Anolis sagrei: one gene and its partners. The protein of the gene in region 3 interacts with the protein of the main gene of each other region in a pairwise test. Links are inferred from orthologs where the notes say so. Each region holds a gene or a part of one and is shown on either strand. Other genes may lie near its edges.

Region 1 (8,009 bases), on a different chromosome or scaffold from region 3:
CCATTCAGCGTCGTCTCATCGTCCAAACCACAATCCCATATCATTTCCGTTATTCCATTCCTATAGTCATTACCAATCATTGCACTTCTTGTTCGAACGCCTTCTTGAACAACCAGGTTTTTAATTTTCTGCGGAATATCAACAGGGAAGGAGCCTGTCCAGGGGAAGGGTGTTCCACAGCCGAGGGACCACCACCGAGAAGGCCCTATCTCTCGTCCCCGCCAGCCGTGCTTGTGAAGCAGGCGGGATCGAGAGCAGGGCCTCCCCGGAAGATAAGTCCTGGTGGGCTCGTAGGTCGAGATGCGGTCGGATAGGTATCTTGGGCCGGAACCGTTTAAGGCTTTATAGGCCAACGCCAGCACCTTGAAATAGGCCCGGTAGCAAATCGGCAGCCAGTGGAGCTGGTACAACAAGGGGGTTGTGTGCTCCCTGCGTCCCGCTCCTGTAAGTAACATGGCTGCCGCACGTTGGACTAATTGAAGCTTCCGGGCCATCTTCAAAGGCAACCCCACGTAGAGAGCGTTGCAGTAGTCTAAACGGGATGTAACCAGAGCGTGGACTACCATGGCCAAGTCAGACTTCCCAAGGTACGGGCGCAGCTGGTGCACGAGCCTTAGCTGTGCAAATGCTCCCCTGGTCACCGCAGGCTCAGCGATGAATCCAGGATCACACCCAAGCTGCGAACCTGCGCTTTCAGGGGGAGTGCGACCCCATCCAGCACAGGCTGTAACCCTATGCCCTGTATCTGTTTTCTGTGTTTTAATCCTGTGTGTATTTTGTTTTCTTTGCTTTCACAGTTGTGATGTCATTATTTTATTGAAATTTAATTTCATAAACATTATTGTTTTATTAAATATCCAAACTTTAAGATCGTTTCAAATCATAACGCCAAAAGTGAGCAATGATCCCTCAGATTATTCACAGCCCAACCAATGTATGTTGATTGATGGGACTTACTTCCTAGGCATTGTAGCATTCAACTCATACGTGTGGGCCATTGGTTTGAACCTTGACTATAGACAAGTGGCACCAATGGCACTGCCGCCATTTCTATATTCTTTGGCTTTTAAATTCTTCATTGAAAGCTTGATAGGTACTGCTTTGAGAAAATCAAAAGGGTTACTTCTCACCTCCTTTTAACACTGAACCGGGTTCGGGATACACAGAAGGATTCTGAGGTGCTGATGACTGGACATGGTTGCCCTGCTGACCCAACAATAAGCGTAATTCGTAGTTTTCTTTAAACAGCCTGATCTGATTTTTCAGGTGTGCATTTTCTTCCTGAATTCTTTTCAACCACTCTCTCTCCCCAGACATTCTTTTCTTCCTCCTTGGTGAGGAAGGGTCAATATTTAAGAGAGGACCTTAGCTGGACAGGTCACTTGTCCCAGTGCTTTTAAAGGCTCACAGAAAACTCAGCCAGATTAGAATGTTTCTACAACATTATGAGGTCACCAGAACACTTAAGAGAATGCTGCCGCTCAACTTCAATCACTCTGCCAGGGTGATTTAAGTTGAGCAAGATGAACTGAACCACCTCAACTGGGCTCTACAGACCAATGGATACTCCACCTCAGACATCAGAAGAGCTGCACGACCAAGAACAAGACACGAGAGTAGAGATGAAGATCCACCCAGAGGAAAAGTGTTCTTGCCATACATCAAAGGAACCACTGACCGCATAGGGAAGCTGATGAGGAAACACAACATACAAACTATCTACAGACCCACCAAGAAAATCCAACAAATGCTACGTTCAGCAAAGGACAAGAGGGACCCTCTCACTTCTGCAGGAGTCTACTGTGTACCATGCAGCTGTGGATAAGTCTACATAGGGACCACCAAACGCAGCAGCATTGGCCAAACACGAATCAAGGAACAAGAAAGGCACTGCAGACTCCTTCAACCAGAGAAGTCAGCCATAGCAGAGCACCTGATGAACCAACCTGGACATGGCATTTTATTTGAGAGCACAGAAATGCTGGACCACTCTCACAACCACCATGTCAGACTACACAGAGAGGCCACTGAAATCCACAAGCATGTGGACAATTTCAACAGAAAGGAAGAAACCATTAAAATGAACAAAATCTGGCTACCAGTACTAAAAAAACCTCTAAAATTACAACAGCAAAACAACAGAGAGTAAACAATCAGGCACATCAAATCACCTCTCAACAAAAGATTCCCCCAGGCACTTCCAAGCCATTAAATGCTAATCAAGGTGGTCAGTTGAAACATTCACACCTAGTTCCAGCATACAAAAGTCCTTTGTCACACCCTGGTCATTCCACAGATATATAAACCCATTTTCCTACTTCCAACAGAGTTCACTATCTCTAAGGATCCTTGCCATAGATGCAGGCGAAACGTCAGGAGAAAATGCCTCTAGACCAGTGGTTCTCAACCTTCCTAATGCCATGACCCCTAATATAGTTCCTCATGTTGTGGTGACCCCCAACCATATTTTTGTTGCTACGTCATAACTGTACTGTTATGAATTGTAATGTAAACATCTGATATGCAGAATGTATTTCCATTGTTACAAATTGAACATAATTAAAGCATAGTGATTAATGATAAAAACAGTATGATTGGGGGAGTATGGACAATGGATGAAGGGATTGGAATTACCGCCAACCGATTCAGCTCTGACTTTTTGGGAATTGCACTTGTGTGAATTATAGTTCACCAGGCACCAAAGAGCATTCTGAACTACACCAACAATAGAATTGAACCAAACTTGGCATACAGGACTTTCATGGCCCACGGAAAATACTGGAGGGGTTGGGAAAAAAAGACCCTGACATTTGGGAATTGCAATTGTGTGAATTATAGTTCACCAGGCACCAAAGAGCATTCTGAACTACACCAACAATAGAATTGAACCAAACTTGGCATATAGGACTTCCATGACCCACAGAAAATATTGGAGGGATTTGGGGGAGGTATTAACAAAAGATTAGATTTGTCCTACCTTCAGTTTCTGAAGAGCCTTCTTTGCTGCCTGGACAGGGGAAAGACGGCTGGGAGACCCTCGCCCCTTCACAGGCTCGAGGGCGCAGGAGGCGAGCGGAGAAGGCCTCAGCCATGGAGGGGGCCTACCAGTCGCCTCTCGCGTCCCCCGAAGGCGGAGGGCGCAGGAGGCGAGCGGAGAAGGCGTCAGCCATGCAAGGGGCCTCCCAGTCGCCCCTCGCGTCCTCCGACGGCGGAGGGCGCAGGAGGCGAGCGGGGAAGGCCTCTTTCATGGCCTCAGCCATGGAGGGGGCCTCCCAGTCGCCTCTCGCGTCCTCCGAAGGCGGCGGGCGCAGGAGGCGAGCGGAGAAGGCCTCAGCCATGGAGGGGGCCTCCCAGTCGCCTCTCGCGTCCCCCGAAGGCGGAGGGCGCAGGAGGCGAGCGGAGAAGGCCTCAGCCATGGAGGGGGCCTCCCAGTCGCCTCTCGCGTCCCCCGAAGGCGGCGGGCGCAGGAGGCGAGCGGAGAAGGCCTCAGCCATGGAGGGGGCCTCCCAGTCGCCTCTGGCGTCCCCCGAAGGCGGCGGGCGCAGGAGGCGAGCGGAGAAGGCCTCAGCCATGGAGGGGGCCTCCCAGTCGCCTCTCGCGTCCCCCGAAGGCGGAGGGTGCAGGAGGCGAGCGGAGAAGGCCTCAGCCATGGAGGGGGCCTCCCAGTCGCCTCTGGCGTCCCCCGAAGGCGGCGGGCGCAGGAGGCGAGCGGAGAAGGCCTCAGCCATGGAGGGGGCCTCCCAGTCGCCTCTCGCGTCCCCCGAAGGCGGAGGGTGCAGGAGGCGAGCGGAGAAGGCCTCAGCCATGGAGGGGGCCTCCCAGTCGCCTCTGGCGTCCCCCGAAGGCGGCGGGCGCAGGAGGCGAGCGGAGAAGGCCTCAGCCATGGAGGGGGCCTCCCAGTCGCCTCTGGCGTCCCCCGAAGGCGGCGGGCGCAGGAGGCGAGCGGAGAAGGCCTCAGCCATGGAGGGGGCCTCCCAGTCGCCTCTGGCGTCCCCCGAAGGCGGCGGGCGCAGGAGGCGAGCGGAGAAGGCCTCAGCCATGGAGGGGGCCTCCCAGTCGCCTCTGGCGTCCCCCGAAGGCGGCGGGCGCAGGAGGCGAGCGGAGAAGGCCTCAGCCATGGAGGGGGCCTCCCAGTCGCCTCTGGCGTCCCCCGAAGGCGGAGGGCGCAGGAGGCGAGCGGAGAAGGCCTCAGCCATGGAGGGGGCCTCCCAGTCGCCTCTCGCGTCCCCCGAAGGCGGCGGGCGCAGGAGGCGAGCGGAGAAGGCCTCAGCCATGGAGGGGGCCTCCCAGTCGCCTCTGGCGTCCCCCGAAGGCGGCGGGCGCAGGAGGCGAGCGGAGAAGGCCTCAGCCATGGAGGGGGCCTCCCAGTCGCCTCTCGCGTCCCCCGAAGGCGGAGGGTGCAGGAGGCGAGCGGAGAAGGCCTCAGCCATGGAGGGGGCCTCCCAGTCGCCTCTGGCGTCCCCCGAAGGCGGCGGGCGCAGGAGGCGAGCGGAGAAGGCCTCAGCCATGGAGGGGGCCTCCCAGTCGCCTCTGGCGTCCCCCGAAGGCGGCGGGCGCAGGAGGCGAGCGGAGAAGGCCTCAGCCATGGAGGGGGCCTCCCAGTCGCCTCTCGCGTCCCCCGAAGGCGGAGGGTGCAGGAGGCGAGCGGAGAAGGCCTCAGCCATGGAGGGGGCCTCCCAGTCGCCTCTGGCGTCCCCCGAAGGCGGCGGGCGCAGGAGGCGAGCGGAGAAGGCCTCAGCCATGGAGGGGGCCTCCCAGTCGCCTCTGGCGTCCCCCGAAGGCGGCGGGCGCAGGAGGCGAGCGGAGAAGGCCTCAGCCATGGAGGGGGCCTCCCAGTCGCCTCTGGCGTCCCCCGAAGGCGGCGGGCGCAGGAGGCGAGCGGAGAAGGCCTCAGCCATGGAGGGGGCCTCCCAGTCGCCTCTGGCGTCCCCCGAAGGCGGCGGGCGCAGGAGGCGAGCGGAGAAGGCCTCAGCCATGGAGGGGGCCTCCCAGTCGCCTCTGGCGTCCCCCGAAGGCGGCGGGCGCAGGAGGCGAGCGGAGAAGGCCTCTTTCATGGCTGCAGCCATGGAGGGGGCCTCCCAGTCGCCTCTCGCGTCCCCCGAAGGCGGCGGGCGCAGGAGGCGAGCGGGGAAGGCCTCGGCCATGGAGGGGGCCTCCCAGTCGCCTCTCGCGTCCCCCGAAGGCGGCGGGCGCAGGAGGCGAGCGGAGAAGGCCTCAGCCATGGAGGGGGCCTCCCAGTCGCCTCTGGCGTCCCCCGAAGGCGGCGGGCGCAGGAGGCGAGCGGAGAAGGCCTCAGCCATGGAGGGGGCCTCCCAGTCGCCTCTGGCGTCCCCCGAAGGCGGCGGGCGCAGGAGGCGAGCGGAGAAGGCCTCAGCCATGGAGGGGGCCTCCCAGTCGCCTCTCGCGTCCCCCGAAGGCGGAGGGTGCAGGAGGCGAGCGGAGAAGGCCTCAGCCATGGAGGGGGCCTCCCAGTCGCCTCTGGCGTCCCCCGAAGGCGGCGGGCGCAGGAGGCGAGCGGAGAAGGCCTCAGCCATGGAGGGGGCCTCCCAGTCGCCTCTGGCGTCCCCCGAAGGCGGCGGGCGCAGGAGGCGAGCGGAGAAGGCCTCAGCCATGGAGGGGGCCTCCCAGTCGCCTCTCGCGTCCCCCGAAGGCGGAGGGTGCAGGAGGCGAGCGGAGAAGGCCTCAGCCATGGAGGGGGCCTCCCAGTCGCCTCTGGCGTCCCCCGAAGGCGGCGGGCGCAGGAGGCGAGCGGAGAAGGCCTCAGCCATGGAGGGGGCCTCCCAGTCGCCTCTGGCATCCCCCGAAGGCGGCGGGCGCAGGAGGCGAGCGGAGAAGGCCTCAGCCATGGAGGGGGCCTCCCAGTCGCCTCTGGCGTCCCCCGAAGGCGGCGGGCGCAGGAGGCGAGCGGAGAAGGCCTCAGCCATGGAGGGGGCCTCCCAGTCGCCTCTGGCGTCCCCCGAAGGCGGCGGGCGCAGGAGGCGAGCGGAGAAGGCCTCTTTCATGGCTGCAGCCATGGAGGGGGCCTCCCAGTCGCCTCTCGCGTCCCCCGAAGGCGGCGGGCGCAGGAGGCGAGCGGGGAAGGCCTCGGCCATGGAGGGGGCCTCCCAGTCGCCTCTCGCGTCCCCCGAAGGCGGCGGGCGCAGGAGGCGAGCGGAGAAGGCCTCAGCCATGGAGGGGGCCTCCCAGTCGCCTCTGGCGTCCCCCGAAGGCGGCGGGCGCAGGAGGCGAGCGGAGAAGGCCTCAGCCATGGAGGGGGCCTCCCAGTCGCCTCTGGCGTCCCCCGAAGGCGGCGGGCGCAGGAGGCGAGCGGAGAAGGCCTCAGCCATGGAGGGGGCCTCCAGGTCGCCTCTCGCGTCCCCCGAAGGCGGCGGGCGCGGGAGGCGAGCGGGGAAGGCCTCGGCCATGGAGGGGGCCTCCCAGTCGCCTCTCGCGTCCCCCGAAGGCGGAGGGCGCAGGAGGCGAGCGGGGAAGGCCTCAGCCATGGAGGGGGCCTCCCAGTCGCCTCTGGCGTCCCCCGAAGGCGGCGGGCGCAGGAGGCGAGCGGAGAAGGCCTCAGCCATGGAGGGGGCCTCCCAGTCGCCTCTGGCGTCCCCCGAAGGCGGCGGGCGCAGGAGGCGAGCGGAGAAGGCCTCAGCCATGGAGGGGGCCTCCCAGTCGCCTCTGGCGTCCCCCGAAGGCGGCGGGCGCAGGAGGCGAGCGGAGAAGGCCTCAGCCATGGAGGGGGCCTCCCAGTCGCCTCTGGCGTCCCCCGAAGGCGGAGGGCGCAGGAGGCGAGCGGAGAAGGCCTCAGCCATGGAGGGGGCCTCCCAGTCGCCTCTCGCGTCCCCCGAAGGCGGCGGGCGCAGGAGGCGAGCGGAGAAGGCCTCAGCCATGGAGGGGGCCTCCCAGTCGCCTCTGGCGTCCCCCGAAGGCGGCGGGCGCAGGAGGCGAGCGGAGAAGGCCTCAGCCATGGAGGGGGCCTCCCAGTCGCCTCTCGCGTCCCCCGAAGGCGGAGGGTGCAGGAGGCGAGCGGAGAAGGCCTCAGCCATGGAGGGGGCCTCCCAGTCGCCTCTGGCGTCCCCCGAAGGCGGCGGGCGCAGGAGGCGAGCGGAGAAGGCCTCAGCCATGGAGGGGGCCTCCCAGTCGCCTCTGGCGTCCCCCGAAGGCGGCGGGCGCAGGAGGCGAGCGGAGAAGGCCTCAGCCATGGAGGGGGCCTCCCAGTCGCCTCTCGCGTCCCCCGAAGGCGGAGGGTGCAGGAGGCGAGCGGAGAAGGCCTCAGCCATGGAGGGGGCCTCCCAGTCGCCTCTGGCGTCCCCCGAAGGCGGCGGGCGCAGGAGGCGAGCGGAGAAGGCCTCAGCCATGGAGGGGGCCTCCCAGTCGCCTCTGGCGTCCCCCGAAGGCGGCGGGCGCAGGAGGCGAGCGGAGAAGGCCTCAGCCATGGAGGGGGCCTCCCAGTCGCCTCTGGCGTCCCCCGAAGGCGGCGGGCGCAGGAGGCGAGCGGAGAAGGCCTCAGCCATGGAGGGGGCCTCCCAGTCGCCTCTGGCGTCCCCCGAAGGCGGCGGGCGCAGGAGGCGAGCGGAGAAGGCCTCAGCCATGGAGGGGGCCTCCCAGTCGCCTCTGGCGTCCCCCGAAGGCGGCGGGCGCAGGAGGCGAGCGGAGAAGGCCTCTTTCATGGCTGCAGCCATGGAGGGGGCCTCCCAGTCGCCTCTCGCGTCCCCCGAAGGCGGCGGGCGCAGGAGGCGAGCGGGGAAGGCCTCGGCCATGGAGGGGGCCTCCCAGTCGCCTCTCGCGTCCCCCGAAGGCGGCGGGCGCAGGAGGCGAGCGGAGAAGGCCTCAGCCATGGAGGGGGCCTCCCAGTCGCCTCTGGCGTCCCCCGAAGGCGGCGGGCGCAGGAGGCGAGCGGAGAAGGCCTCAGCCATGGAGGGGGCCTCCCAGTCGCCTCTGGCGTCCCCCGAAGGCGGCGGGCGCAGGAGGCGAGCGGAGAAGGCCTCAGCCATGGAGGGGGCCTCCCAGTCGCCTCTCGCGTCCCC
Region 2 (7,062 bases), on a different chromosome or scaffold from region 3:
GAACTACATCGCTCCTAACTCACTGTCAATTCCTCCCAAATCCCTGCAGTATTTTCTGTTGATCATGGGGGTTCTATGTGGGAAGTTTGGCCCAATTCTATCATTGGTGGGATTCAAGGGGCACTTTGAGTGTAGGTGAACTGTAAATCCCAGCAACTACGGCTCCCAAATGTCAAGGCCTCTTTTTCCCAAACTAAAACTCCAAAACCCAAGGTCAATGCCCACCAAAACCTTCCAGTATTTTCTGTTAGTCATGGGAGTTCTGTGTACCAAGTTTGGTTCAATTCCCTCATTGGTGGAGTTCAGAATGCTCTTTCATTGTAGGTGTACTATAAATCCCAGAAACCACAACTCCCAAATGACAAAATTAATTATCCCCCCCCCCAATATGGGCATATCGCATATTTGTATCAAATACATCCTGCATATATTTATATGATGATTCATAACAGTAGCAAAATTACAGTTGTGAAGTAGCAACAAAAATAATTCTATGGTTGGGGGCCACCACAACATGAAGAACTGTATTAAGGGGTCGCGGCATTAGGAAGGTTGAGAAACACTGTTCTAGAATAAAACAAAGCTGAGCAGGATTTAGTCAAACTCCTATACCCAGCCAAGTTGATTAATTTACTGAAAGGGAAAAGATCACCACAATCCATTTTCACTACAGCATCTATTCTTAGTTGTATGTCTTAGTACACACAAATAGAGACATATATGTCCTGCAGATACAGATGGAAGGGTGCTTCATTACTTTGCCTCACCCAGCAACAGTTTGTGCTTCTTAAGCAGCCTTTAGTTGCTCATGTCTGCATGAACTCTACTGAGTTTTTAAAAATAGCTTACTATCTCTTTCCACTCACTCTGCTTTCGTACCACACACAAGTCTAGCCTTTCTTTTCGATTACATTATGTAACAAAATTTGAAACATTTTCTGTCTCTGGTTTGAAAGTGTTATTTCCTGTTTAACTGCATGGTGCTTACTTTGAAAGTAGTTGTTCTACTCCAGGAATTTCGTTTTTGTGGCTGCCACAAGCTATGCTGAACTGGTTGAGATTCAATGAAAAACTAGAGCAAAATGTGCAGCAGGATCTCCCACACAAACAAAGTTTTGGCAGTTTAATAAACTTTTCCCATGTTGTTGTGATAGACCCAATTAGGAAATGACATTTATAACCCAGGAACAAACCCATGTTACATAGTGTTATTAAAACCACTTATGTATTAACTTACATTCACACCTCCCAACCACTTCTCCTTCCGATATTACCTATGGCCTCATCTACATTTCCATATAAAATCCAGATTATCTATTTTTAACTGTATTAGATTAATTTACACTGCCATATAATCCAGTTCAAAGCAGATAATATGGATTTTATAGGGCAGTGTAATGGGGCATAAATTGCCTGTTTCGGATTATAAACCCTTTTGGAGCACAGATCTAGGGCACTTCCAAGCAGGCCCTATATCCTAATAATAATAATAATAATGGATTGTCGATGTTGCAATCCCTGGTGACAGCAGGATTGAAGAGAAACAACTGGAAAAGCTGACACGATATGAGGATTTAAATATCAAACTGGAAAGACTCTGGTACAAGCCAGTCAAGGTGGTCCCAGTGATCAGCACACTGGGTGCAGTGCCTAAACACCTTGGCCTGCACTTAAACACAATCGGAGCTGACACAATTACCATCTGCTAGCTGCAGAAGGCCACCTTACTGGGATCTGAATGCATTATTCACCAATACATCACCTGGGAAGTGCCCGACGTGTAATCCACTACAACAGCCAGCAGAGTGTCTGCTGTGGACTCATCTTGTTGTGTTTCAAATAATAATAATAATCTTTATTTATACCCCGCCACCATCTCCCCAAAGGGACTCGGGGAGGCTTACATGAGGCCAAGAATGGAAATACATTACAGTAAAATACATTATAAAAGCAAAACAACTTAAGGTAAAGGTTGTCCCATGACATTAAGTCCAGTTGTGGCCGACTCTGGGGTGTGGTGTTCATCTCCATTTCTAAGCCGAAGAGCCGGCATTGTCCACAGACACCTCCAAGGTCATGTGGCCTGCATGACTGCATGGAGCGCCATTACTTTCCTGACGGAGCAGTACCTATTGGTCTACTCATATTTGTATGTTTTTGAACTGCTAGGTTGGCAGAAGCTGGGGCTGACAGCGGAAGCTCACGCCGCTCCCCGCATTCGAACCTGTGACCTTTCAGTCAACAAGCTCAGCATCTCTCTGCTTTAACCCACTGCGCCACCGGGGGCTCCCAAAACAACTTAGGAATACAATAAAACTAAGCAAAGTAAAACAAAACAAAATAATGCAACAAGAAATCAATCCCAATGAAATCAATCTCAATCCTAGGACCTGATCCCAGCTTTTCTGTTCATCCCAGATTATCTGGCAGTGCAGACTCATAAAACTGAAGTTACAGCGGAAACCTGGGATCAGATCCTGGGATATTGGGTCTATCTGAAAGGGTCCTAAGGAAGGAAGGAAGTAAGTAAGTCCACCTAGCAGCAAAGCCAGATGAAGCTCCAAAATAGCTATTATTACTCAATAATGTCGGCTTTTTTTTTGAGATGGACAGCAGGGAATTACTTTTTAAAAACGAGTCAAATGCAACATAAATGTAAATTTCCAAAGTGAGCCAGGAAAGTGACCTAAGGAGGCATCTACACTGTAGAATTAACGCAGTTTGATACCGCTTGCACTGCCCTGGCTCATGCTATGGAATCATGAGGACTATAGTTTGGCGCCAGCCCTCTTTGGCAGGGAAAGCTAAAGATATGGAGGAACTGCAGCTCTTGTGATTCCAAACTGCATTAATTCTACAGTGTGGATGCACCCAAAGCCACGGAAAAGCCTCTTCCTGTGTTTACCTTTGTGTCCTTAATCAATCAACAGCCTTAGGGTGAAGCAAATCCCTTTTATCGACACGCCTGGCCCTCTGATGGCCCCTGGACTCAAAGTCTTCTCCAGCTCTCCCCTCTCCTGTTGCTGCATGGGAGTTGTAGTCTGCAACGCCCCTTCTTTGGCTTGAGAGGTGGAGAAAAGGACTCCATTTCCCGAGGTGCCTCGCTCTCCGGGCTGTGTTCTCTGTGGCTGAGCATGCGCAGAACTCCTGGAGAGCGGGCTGCGGGCTGCCTGGCTATGGGGGTCCCCTCCGTTTCCGGGTTCCGGCTGCTGGCGGCCTTTGCGGGGGGCTCCCTCCTCTTTGTGGTCCTAGCTTCGTATAGGGCAGGGAGCGAGCTTCAGGTGGGTCGGCCAAGACAAAGAGGATGCTCCCAAGGGCCCATGTGTATTGATTGTGCCAAAAAAGATGTCAGTGCCATCGAGGTGTGGCCTGTGTTCCCTCCTCAAGGGTCTCACGACCACCCTGTGAGGGAGAGCATGTTACCATGGCGACAGAGGGTGTCACCATGACGACAGGCGCCCTCACAACAACCTATGCTATTTATTGTTGTTATTTATGAATTTGGTACCCCGCCTTTCCCCAGTCAAGGGCCCAAGGCGGCTCACAGGCAGTAAAAACATACAATATGAAAATTAAAACCAAGTTAAACCCATACATATTATGTTATTTCACACAAATTATACTAATGTATAATTAGTGTGGAACACTATGTAAACCCCCAATATAATACCTTAAAAACCACCCAGATAATGTGTCATGGAGCCACTGCGGAGCCCCCGGTGGCGCAGTGGGTTAAAGCACTGAGCTGCTGAGCTTGTTGATCGAAAGGTCGCAGGTTCGATTCCGGAGAGCGGTGTGAGCTTCCGCTGTCAGCCCTAGCTCCTGCCAACCTAGCAGTTCAAAAACATGCAAATGTGAGTAGATCAATAGGTACCGCTCCGGCGGGAAGGTAACGGCGCTCCATGCAGTCATGCCGGCCACATGACCTTGGAGGTGTCTACGGACAACGCTGGCTCTTCGGCTTAGAAATGGAGATGAGCACCACACCCCAGAGTCAGACATGACTGGACTTAATGTCAGGGGACTACCTTTGCCTTTACCTTAATGTGTCATGGCTGGAATCACTGGGCTGCTGTGAGCTTTTCGGGCTGTATGGCCACATTCCAGAAGCATTCTCTCCTGACGTTTCACACACAACTATGGCAGGCATCCTCAGAGGTTGTGAGGTCTGCTGGAAAATAGGCAAATGAGGTTTATATATCTGTGAAATAAAGGATTCCCTGGGCAGGAAACAGCCAGGCTTTGAAGCTGCAAAGCCATTTAATGCTAATCAAGGTGGCCAATTTGCAACATTTCGCCCACTAAAAACAGTATCTATATAAACACTGTTTAAAACCAGCCAATTCCTATGATCGGGGTATCCAGCATTATAAATTATAGTTCTAATTACCATTTAAAGTCCTGTCCGATAAGGTGGTTGATAGTCTTAGCCATTATCAAAAGCCTGCTTAAATAGCCAGGTTTTCAACTCCTTCCTGAAAGTTTTGAGGGTTAGTGCTTGTCTAATTTCCTTGGGGAAGGCATTCCAAAGTTGGGGGGTCACTACCGAGAAGGCCCACTCCCTTGTCCCCACCGACCTCACTTGTGAGGGAGGTAGAATTGAGAGGAGGGCGTCCTCGGCTGATCTTAGGGCCTGAACAGGTTTATCAGGAGAGATGTGATCACGTAAATAGGTAGTACCCAAACTATATAGGGTTTTGTAGGTAATAACCTGCACTTTGAATAGGGCCTAGAAGCAGATCAGCAAGCAATGGAGCTGCTTCAAGAGGGGGGGGGGTCATATATTCCCTACAGTCCACTCCGGTCAGCAGTTTGGATGCAGATCTTTGAGCTATTTGAAGCTTCCAGACTGTCTTCATAGGCAGCCCCACGTAGACTGCATTGTAGTAATTTATACGAGATGTGACTCAGGCATGGACCAATGCAGCTGTTTCAGGAGCGGATAGTACATTCTCTTATATCTGCTCCCATTAGCAACTTGGCTGCCAATTTTTGAACAAATTGAAGTTTTCGAACTGTTTTCAAACGCAGTCCCACATAGAGCACATTACAGTAATCCAGGTGGAATGTAACCAAGGCATGTACCAAAGTGTCCAGGTCAGATTTTTCTAGGAATGCCCACCGTTGGCTCACCAGTTTGAGTTGTGCAAAGATGATCCTGGGAACCTCCACCACCTGGGCTTCCAGGTTTAAAGAGCAATCCAGAAATACCCTCAAACTGTGAACCTGAGCTTTCGGGAGAATGTAACCCAGTCCAGCTCTGGAGTTGTACCCCTATTCCCGGATTCATCCTACATGAGACCAGTAGTACTTTTGTCTTGTCTGGATTCAGTTTCAATTTGTTTAGCCTCATTCAGCCCATTACTGCCTTGAGGCACTGGTTTTAATCGCAGCACAGCTTTCATGGTATTATCTGGTGAAAAGCAATAGTAGAGTTCAGCATCATCTTCATACAAGTGATACTGAACTCTAAAACTCCAGATGATCTCTCCCAGCGGTTTCATGTAGATGTTAAATAACATAGGGAAAGTGATGAGCCCTGCGGGACCCCACAGTCCAACAGCCATAGTTTGAACAGGGCTTCCCCAGCACCACCTTCTGACTGCAGTCTGAGAGAAAGGACTGGGACCACTGCAGAACAGTGCCTCTCAGGCCTATTCCTATCAGTCCTTCCAGAAAGATACTATTGTCGATGATATCAAAAGCCACTGAGAGGTCAAGGAGAACCAAATAGATCACAGTCCTCTTATATAGTTCTCCATGTAGATCATCCAAAGTCATCTCTGTTCCATCTCCAGGCCTGAAGCCAGATGGAAATGAGTTTAAGAAATCAGTAACTTCCAACAACCCCTGGAGTTGTCTGGCCACCACCTATTCCAGGATTTTGCTGATGTATGGCCAATTGGACAGATGGTTCTCACAACCCCCTTTTAATTTTTTTACAACTTCAAAACCTTCCAGTTAAAGTAAAACAGACACTAAAATAAATCGCCCTTCCCCACAGACTCCCTCATGAAATCTCCCAGTTGAAATAAAGTAAAATAGACACTAAGTCCCCATCTATACTGCCACACAAAATTCAGATTATCTGCTTTGAACTGGATCATATGGCAGTGTAGACTCATATAATCCAATTCAAAGCCGATAATGTGATTATCTGCTTTGATAACCCGGATAATATGGCAATATAACCCAAACCATGCAGGTCTTTAAATATAAATCCAAATTCTCTGTTTTGAACTGGATTATATGAGTCTAAACTGCCTTTTAATCCAGTTCAAATTAGACAACCTGGATTTTATATGGCAGTTAGAAGGGGCCTTATTTATATGCACGGATAATTCACATGATTTGTTACCTAGACTGACTGATGAATGGGAAACTGTGTGGAACCCACAGCCATCTGGTGTCTTTATTAGGTCCAGTCAAAATGTTAGAAGACATTTTCCAAAGCTCTTCAATAAGACATTATACACTACTCTCTGGCTTCATCTACACCAGGGGTCCTCAAACTATGGCCTGGGGGCCGGATGCGGCCCTCCAAGGTCATTTACCCAGCCCTCGCTCAAGGTCAACCTGTCTGAAATGACTTGAAAGCACACAACAATAACAACAACCCTATCTCATCAGCCAAAAGCAGGCCCACACTTTCCATTGAAATACTAATAAGTTTATATTTGTTTAAATTGTTCTTCATTTTAATTATTGTATTGTTTTTAAATGTCTTTTGCACTACAAATAAGATATGTGCAGTGTGCATAGGAATTCATTCATGCAGTTCTTGTGGATTTTTTCGGGCTATATGGCCATGTTCTAGAGGCATTTCTCCTGACGTTTCGCCTGCATCTATGGCAAGCATCCTCAGAGGTCTGCTGGAGCTGGGAAAAGGGGGTTTATATATCTGTGGAATGACCAGGGTGAGACAAAAGGCTTTTGTAAGTTGGGCTAGGTGTGAATCTTTTCAACTGACCACCTTGATTAGCATACAATGGGCTGACAGTGCCTGGAGCAAACTCTTCTTGAAAGGTGATTAGATGTCCCTGCCTGTTTTTCTCTCTGCTG
Region 3 (7,528 bases):
GGGTCACACTCCCCCTAAAAGCTCAGGTACGCAGTCTGGGAGTTCTCCTGGATTCATCGCTGAGCCTGGAACCCCAGGTCTCAGCGGTGGTCAAGGGAGCATTTGCACAATTAAAACTTGTGCGCCAGCTGCGTCCGTACCTTGGGAGGGCTGAATTGACCACAGTAGTACACGCTTTGGTTACATCCCGCTTAGACTACTGCAACGCTCTCTACGTGGGGTTGCCTTTGAAGACTGCCCGGAAGCTGCAGCAAGTCCAACGCGCGGGAGTCAGATTACTAACGGGGGCTGGGTACAGGGAGCACACCACTCCGCCGTTACGCCAGCTCCACTGGCTGCCGATTAGCTTCCAAGCACAATTCAAAGTGCTGGTGTTGACCTATAAAGCCCTAAACGACTCCGGCCCTGTTTACCTCTCCGAACGTATTCTCCCCTACGAACCATCAAGATTACTAAGATCATCTGGAGAGGCCCTGCTCTCGGTCCCACCGGCCTCACAAGTGCGGCTGGTGGGGATGAGGGACAGGGCCTTCTCGGTGGTGGCCCCGCGACTCTGGAACTCTCTCCCTCTGGAGGCCAGAACTGCCCCATCCATCCTAACATTTAGGAAACGGGTGAAGACATGGCTGTGGAGTGAGGCCTTCGATGAATGAGACAACACCAAAGGACCCTGGATGGAAGCTGATGTAGATCCATCTTAATAGGACGACTGACCACTGTAGTTTTATATATAGTGTTTTTAAAGTTGTTTTTGTAATTGTGATATATGATATTTTAATGAGTGTATATGTTTTTTATGGCTGGAAACCGGGCTGAGTCCCTCAATGAGGTTGAGAAGCTCGGTATAGAAAACTGTGAAATAAATAAATAAATAAAAGGCATGAGCAAACTTGGGCCCTCCAGGTGTTTTGGACTCCCACAATTCCTAACAGCCTCGGGCCCCTTCAAGGACTGTGGCTCCTGCAGCAGCTCCAACAGCAAGGACCTATGTCTTCCCTTTTCCTCACTGAACTGAACTCCCCTGTTTCAATGTAACAACCCCTAATAAAGAAGTATCCTTTTTACTCACTTTTCCTCTTCATAGTGATACATCGTGTCCTTTTACTATCTCAAACATTAACAAGCATAAACTAGGCTTGGGTAACAACAGAAAAAATTTGTTTCTAAACTCACTTCGTTTTTAGGGGTCCATCGCGTTTCGTTTTTTTAAAGAATTCCGAAATTTTGCTTTTAAAAATTTCAAAATTTACGAAATTTCGTAAAATTCCGAATCGATTCGTTAATGGTGGACGCGATTGCGCAATACGCTAAAAAAACCCTCCAAATGGGACAGAGGGAACTTCTGAAGCTTCCCTCTCCCTCTGTTGTTGACAGTTGGTGTGATAAAACAAACAACAACTATAAAACTTGCACCAGACATGCGAAAATAATTACGAAATAATTTTGAAATAATTACGAAATAATTACGAAATAAATTGAAAAAATTGTTTCGAATCTAATTTACTCCTCACACTATTCCTGCATGGCTCAATATTGGATCGTAAGCTAATTTAAATACAAATTAATAACAAATTACGAAATTAATGAATGAAACCGCCCAAGCCTAGCATAAAACTTTCCTTTCCTGAGCCGCATATCCCTGCTGACTCGCCTGGGATGCTCTTACAGCGTCCCAGGGAGGCCAAAACTGTGTTCCTCTGAACCGCAGATACGGAAACCCATTGGGCCCCCATATCTGCGGGTCAACGGATCGGCTCTAAACCAGTGCCATCTTTTTGCTAGACTAATTCTAAGACTAACTGCTATCTTACTGATGATCAGTTGAAACATTTACACCTGGCTCCAGCAGACAAGAGTCCTTTGTCCCACCCTTGTCATTCCACAGATATATAAACCCTTTTTCCTAGTTCCAACAGACCTCACTACCTCTGAGGATGCTTGCCATAGATGCAGGTGAAACGTCAGGAGAAAATGCCTTTAGAACATGCCATATAGCCCAAAAAACCCTACAACAACCCACTGCTATCTTACTTTTAGCATAACAGACCTCTGTACCCCAGGAAAACCAATTTTGTCCCAAAAACCTCATGTTGGGTCCAGCTGGCTCCAATCCATGGCTCCACACTGCAACAATGTTCTGCTTCCATTTTATGTGCGTCCAGAAGCCTGTTGACCCCAGGAGAGTCCCTTGAGGTCACCCCTTGGGACCCCCAGATCTCTGGCAGGCCGCTCTGCCCTTCTATGAATTGGATCTGTAATTTTTTCTTCCTTTCCAATGAGTGCATTCCAACCTCTAGTGCTCCCAGGACTGTCACCAATTTCCCATGAACTTTCATAAACTTTTCTCCAACTCCCATGAACTTTCGAAGGACTTTTATGAACTTTTGCCAACTTTCACCAATTTTTGGGAACTTTGAGTACTTTTATCAACTTTTGAGGACTCTTTGGAACTCCCATGAACTCTTTGCCAAACCCCTATGGACTTTTAATAACCTTCTCAAACTTTTATGAATGTTGATGGACTTTGGGGGGGGGGGGGGAAAGACAGCTGACATGATTTGCCCTTAGACCAGTGGTTCTCAACCTGGGGGTCAGGACCCCTGAGGGGGTCACCAGGGGCTGTGAGAGGGGTCACCAAAGACCATCAGGAAACACAGTATTTTATGTTGGTCATGGGGGTTCTGTATAGGAAGTTTGGCCCAATTCGATTGTTGGTGGGATTCAGAATACTCTTTGATTGTAGGTTAATTATTAATCCCAGCAACTACAACTCCCAAATGTCAAGGTCTATTTCCCCCAAAATCCACCAGTGTTCACATTTGGGCATATTGAGTGTTTGTGCCAAGTTTGGTCCAGATCCACCATTGGTCAATGCCCACCAAACCCTTCCAGTGTTTTCTGTTAGTCATGGGAGTTCTGTGTGCCAAGTTTGGTTCAATTCCGTCATTGGTGGAGTTCAGATTGTAGGTGAGCTATAAATCCCACCAACTCCAACTCCCAAGTAACAAAATCAATCAATCCTCCCTCCTCCCAATTCCACCACTATTCTAATTTGGGCATGTTGGATATTTGTGCTAAATTTGATCCAGTGAAAATACATCCTGCTTATCAGATAATTGCAGTACCATTCATAACAGGAGCAAAATTACAGTTATGAAGTAGCAAAATAATGTTATGGTTGGACTGTATTAAGGAGTCGCAGAATTAGGACGGTTGAGAAACACTGCCTTAGACCCTACATGATTTCCCCTTATGAATTCCTTTCATATTCCCCAACCTATTGCTCATTCCTCATGTGTATGTATGTCTATATTTTGAAAAATGTAGGAAAAAGCCACCGTTTTCATGAAACCAGCACCTCATGGCTCCAGGAAGCTTTCCCAATTTCCTGGGCCAGTAAATCCGTAAACAAAGGACTCAACCAAGACTCACTGCATGGACAATAAATAAATGGTTCTTATCAAGCAAAAAGTGAGCGCTAGAAACAACATCATACGAAAGTTGACTGGCACAACCTGGGGATCACAACCAGACACAGTGAAGACATCTGCCCTTGCGCTATGCTACTCTGCTGCTGAGTATGCATGCCCAGTGTGGAACACATCTCACCACACTAAAACAGTGGATGTGGCTCTTAATGAGACATGCTGCATTATCACGGGGTTTCTGCGCCCTACACCACTGGAGAAATTACACTGTCTAGCCGGTATTGCACCAGCCGATAGCGAAAGGACCAAGGCAGAGACATCTCCAGCTCATCCCTTGTTTGGGTATCAGCCAGCACGTCAACGACTTAAATCAAGATATAGTTTTCTTAGATCTACAGAGACACTCGCCGGAGTGGAGTCCACGACATGCGAGTGTGGAGAAGAGCAAACCACTAACCACCTGCTGCAATGCAACCTGAGCCCCGCCACATGCACGATGGAGGACCTTCTTGCGGCAACACCAGAGGCACTCCAAGTGGCCAGATACTGGTCAAAGGACATTTAATCAACTACCAAGTTGGCAAAATCTGTATTTTGGTTTTTTTGTGGTTTTTTTAATCTGTTTGTTTGTTTTGTTCTGTTAGATATGTAATACAATGGTATGGTTGCTGATGACATGATAAATAAAATCAGACGAGACTTCGGAAGGCAAAGAGCCAGGCCATCTGGGATGTTAGGACTTATGGACATTTAAATCACTCAACACAAAGGGTATCTTCCTATCTGTTTATTGGGCTTCAACTCCCATAATTCTTAACAGCCTACTGACTGTTAGTGATTATGGGAGTTGAAGTCACAAACACCTGAAGGGCCGAAGTTTGCCCATGACTGTTTTAACCCCAACTTTTCTCCAGAGTTGTTTGGGTCTGACATTCTCCTCCCTGACACACAAGAAGTCATCTGCTGAAGGACAGCTGGTGCCAGGCTATATTTGTTCTTCTTGCTCATCGCATGCATGCTACGCTTAGGATAAGCAGCCGTCTAGAGTTACAGCAGTGAGGCTTCGGTTTCAGAAGTCGAAAGCTAGCAGGGAATGGCTGCCGAATGAAAAATTCAGGTTTGTTAGGAAAAATAGGAGGTTTTGTTATTGTTGGGATAGAAGTAGAATGATCAATCATTGATACTTAAATAGAAAGTTTTTGAACAGCAATATTATCAGTCTTTTAATTTATTCTAGAATGCAGTATCTCTCCACTACTTTGCATCAATGTTTGGAAAGCTGGGTAAACAAAATTTAATTTCAACTGTTTTTACACATTCTTCCTTAAGGTGTAAATGCCCAGTGATTTCTTTCTCAATGAACTGCAGCTCGAAAGAAGGGAATAAGTAAATATGAAAGCACTTCCTTGCGTAAATGGTCAATAAATAGAATGTGCATGTTCTGAAATGTGGTGTTGTCGCTTTATGTTCACAATGCTATTTAATGGTTCTTTTGAGTTTTTTTTTTTTTAAAAGCTGGTTTAACTGGAAGGCCATCTTGTGGACTTCTAAAATGAAGGTTCCTAGGGCTACAATTTTCAAACCTTGGTCATTGCTTCACGTGTGATTGCAGCTCTATTTCTAGCTCCAAGTTTACCCCTGTCTGCTTGCAGGGGCAGCTCAACCCATTACGCGAAGTAAGCATTTGCAGTATAGTTGATTTTGTCCAGGGGCGCTCTTGAGGTGCTCTTTGGGGAAAATAGACCGTACATATGCGAGTTGTAGTTACTGGGATGTATAGTTCACCTATAATCAAAGAGCATTCTGAACTCCACCAATGATGGAACTGAACCAAATATGGCACACAGAACTCCCACAACGAACAGAATATATATATCAGTGATTAGTTGGGGGGGGGGGGGAATACTGTTTGCTTACCGTTGAAAATTACCTGGAGCCGCCTCTGGCTGCTTGAGGCTCGTCTTTTGCTTTCTTTACTTCTTGCTGAGCAATAAGATCAGCCCAAAATGCAGTGTATTATATTCTCTCCTTTGCAATGGTGAGTTTGGAACAGTAAGTATAATGATAGGCACCTAAAGGAACTCTCCAGAAAGGCCCACTGTTTTATATTCTTTCAATCTGCAACCGTAGGGAGGGTGGGTGGGGGATACTTTTGTACAGTACCATATTCATTGATGGGGATATATCATCATCAGTTTACTAGACACATTTTTTTTGCACAAGTACGACACAAGGGTTTTTTGTTTTGTTTTGTTTTTGTATCAGGAGCAACTTGAGAAACTGCAAGTCACTTCTGGTGTGATAGAATTGGCCATCTACAAGGATGTTGCCCAGGGGACAGCAAGATGTTTGATGTTATTTACCATCTTTGTGGGAGGCTTCTCTCATGTCCCTGCATGAGGAGCTGGAGCTGACAGAGGGAGCCCAACCCGCTCTCCCTGGATTCGAACTGCTGACCTGTCGGTTAGCAGTTCCTGCTGATACAAGGGTTTAACCCATGGCACCACTGGGGGTTCGACACACAAGTTAACATGTTTAAACCCTGGCTTGGGCTGGGAATTGAGAGGGAAGGGTGCTCAGGCTTCAAAACCATCTCACAAACAAACACTGTATGCTGTGAGTTTTCCAGGCTGTATGGCCATGTTCTGGAAGCATTTTCTCCTGACGTTTAGCCCACATATATGGCAAGCATCCTCAGAGGTTGTGAGGTCTGTAGGAAACTAGGCAAGTGGGGTTTCTATATCTATGGAATGTCCAGGATAGGAGAAAGGACTCTTGTCTGTTTGAGGCAAGTGTGAATGTTGCAATTGGCCATCTTGATTAGCATTTAATAGTAGGCATGGGCAATCCATGGTTCTAAATGGTTCTAAAGTACTTACAAAACTCGAGAGCGCTGATGATTTGCTTTTAAAGTGTTTCTAAAGCTGGTGCTGTGCTTCTAAAGTGTTGCTAAAGTTCTAGTGGTGAAAATTTCAGAACTCTAACAAAACTTCCAAAATTTAATTATTATTTCATTATTGGCGATTTTTATGACCGAACCAATTAGGAACTGCCATTTATAACCAAATTTTGAAAGTGTTGTTGGAGTTCTGATATTTTCATCACCAGAACTTTAGCAACACTTTAGAAGCAAAGCACCAGTGCCCCCTAGTTTTGTAAGTACTTTAGGACCATTTGGAACCATGGATTGCCCATGCATATTGAATAACCTTGCAGCTTCAAAGCCTGGCTGGTTGCTGCCTGGGGGAATCTTTTGTTGGGAGGTGTTATCTGGCCCTGATTGTTTCCACTCTGGAATTCTCCTGTTTTCTGAGTGTTGTTCTTTATTCAGCCAGAGAAGTCAGCCATGGCACAGCACCTGATGAACCAGCCTGGACACTGCATATTATTTGAGAACACAGAAATGCTGGACCACTCTCACAACCACTATGTCATACTACACAGAGAAACCATTGAAATCCACAAGTATGTGGACAATTTCAAAAGAAAGGAAGAAACCATGAAAATGAACAAAATCTGGCTACAGGTATTTAAAAATCTATAAAATCAAGATAGTAAAAAAAAAAAGCAAAACTCAGAAAACAAGGGAATTCCAGACAGGAAACAATTAGGGCCAGTTAACACCTCCTAACAAAGGATATCCTCAGGCAGGAAGCAGCCAGGCTTTGAATCTGAGAGGCCATGAAATGCTAATCAAGATGGCCAGTTCCAACATTCACACCTACCTCACACAGACAAGAGTTCTTTCTCCCACCCTGGACATTCCATAGACATATAAACCTCACTTGCTTAGTTTCCAACAGACCTCGCAACCTCTGAGGATGCCTGCCATAGATGTGGATGAAATGTCAGGAGAGAATGCTTCTGGAACATGGCCAGGCAGCCTGGAAAACTCACAGCAACCCAGTGATTCTGGCCATGAAAGCCTTTGACAACAGACACGGTTTGGTCTTTTCTTCCAGTATCGTATGCTGTGATATTGGCTTTCCTATCTGAGATACAGAGAAGCACAGCAGTTCCCTGTGACTTCAGCTGACATCTTGAGTCCTGGCAATCTCCTTGTGCGCCAGCTGCGCCTGTACCTTGGGAAGTCTGACTTG

What was found. The genes of interacting proteins can lie anywhere in the genome.
Region 1: the proteins of FSD2 (region 3) and SPATC1L interact in binary tests that used the Homo sapiens proteins (3 or more experiments, as listed by UniProt). The two-hybrid records come from large-scale screens. The link is inferred for Anolis sagrei from reciprocal best matches to the Homo sapiens genes FSD2 and SPATC1L.
Region 2: the proteins of FSD2 (region 3) and ESD interact in binary tests that used the Homo sapiens proteins (3 or more experiments, as listed by UniProt). The two-hybrid records come from large-scale screens. The link is inferred for Anolis sagrei from reciprocal best matches to the Homo sapiens genes FSD2 and ESD.

What each region holds. Positions count from the first base shown.
Region 1 is NC_090021.1:163,078,331-163,086,339, reverse strand, and holds the start of SPATC1L (speriolin-like protein), read right to left. Parts: upstream 2,978-8,009; intron 1,799-2,977; exon of another isoform or gene 1,331-1,798; 5' UTR 1,318-1,330; coding exon 1,131-1,317; intron 1,100-1,130; exon of another isoform or gene 977-1,099; coding exon of another isoform or gene 958-976; intron 1-957.
Region 2 is NC_090021.1:140,294,606-140,301,667, reverse strand, and holds the start of ESD (S-formylglutathione hydrolase), read right to left. Parts: upstream 3,039-7,062; 5' UTR 2,906-3,038; intron 1-2,905. Other genes in the region: NHLRC3 (NHL repeat-containing protein 3), read left to right, coding at 3,135-3,281.
Region 3 is NC_090029.1:32,404,370-32,411,897, reverse strand, and holds the start of FSD2 (fibronectin type III and SPRY domain-containing protein 2), read left to right. Parts: upstream 1-4,429; 5' UTR 4,430-4,545; intron 4,546-7,528.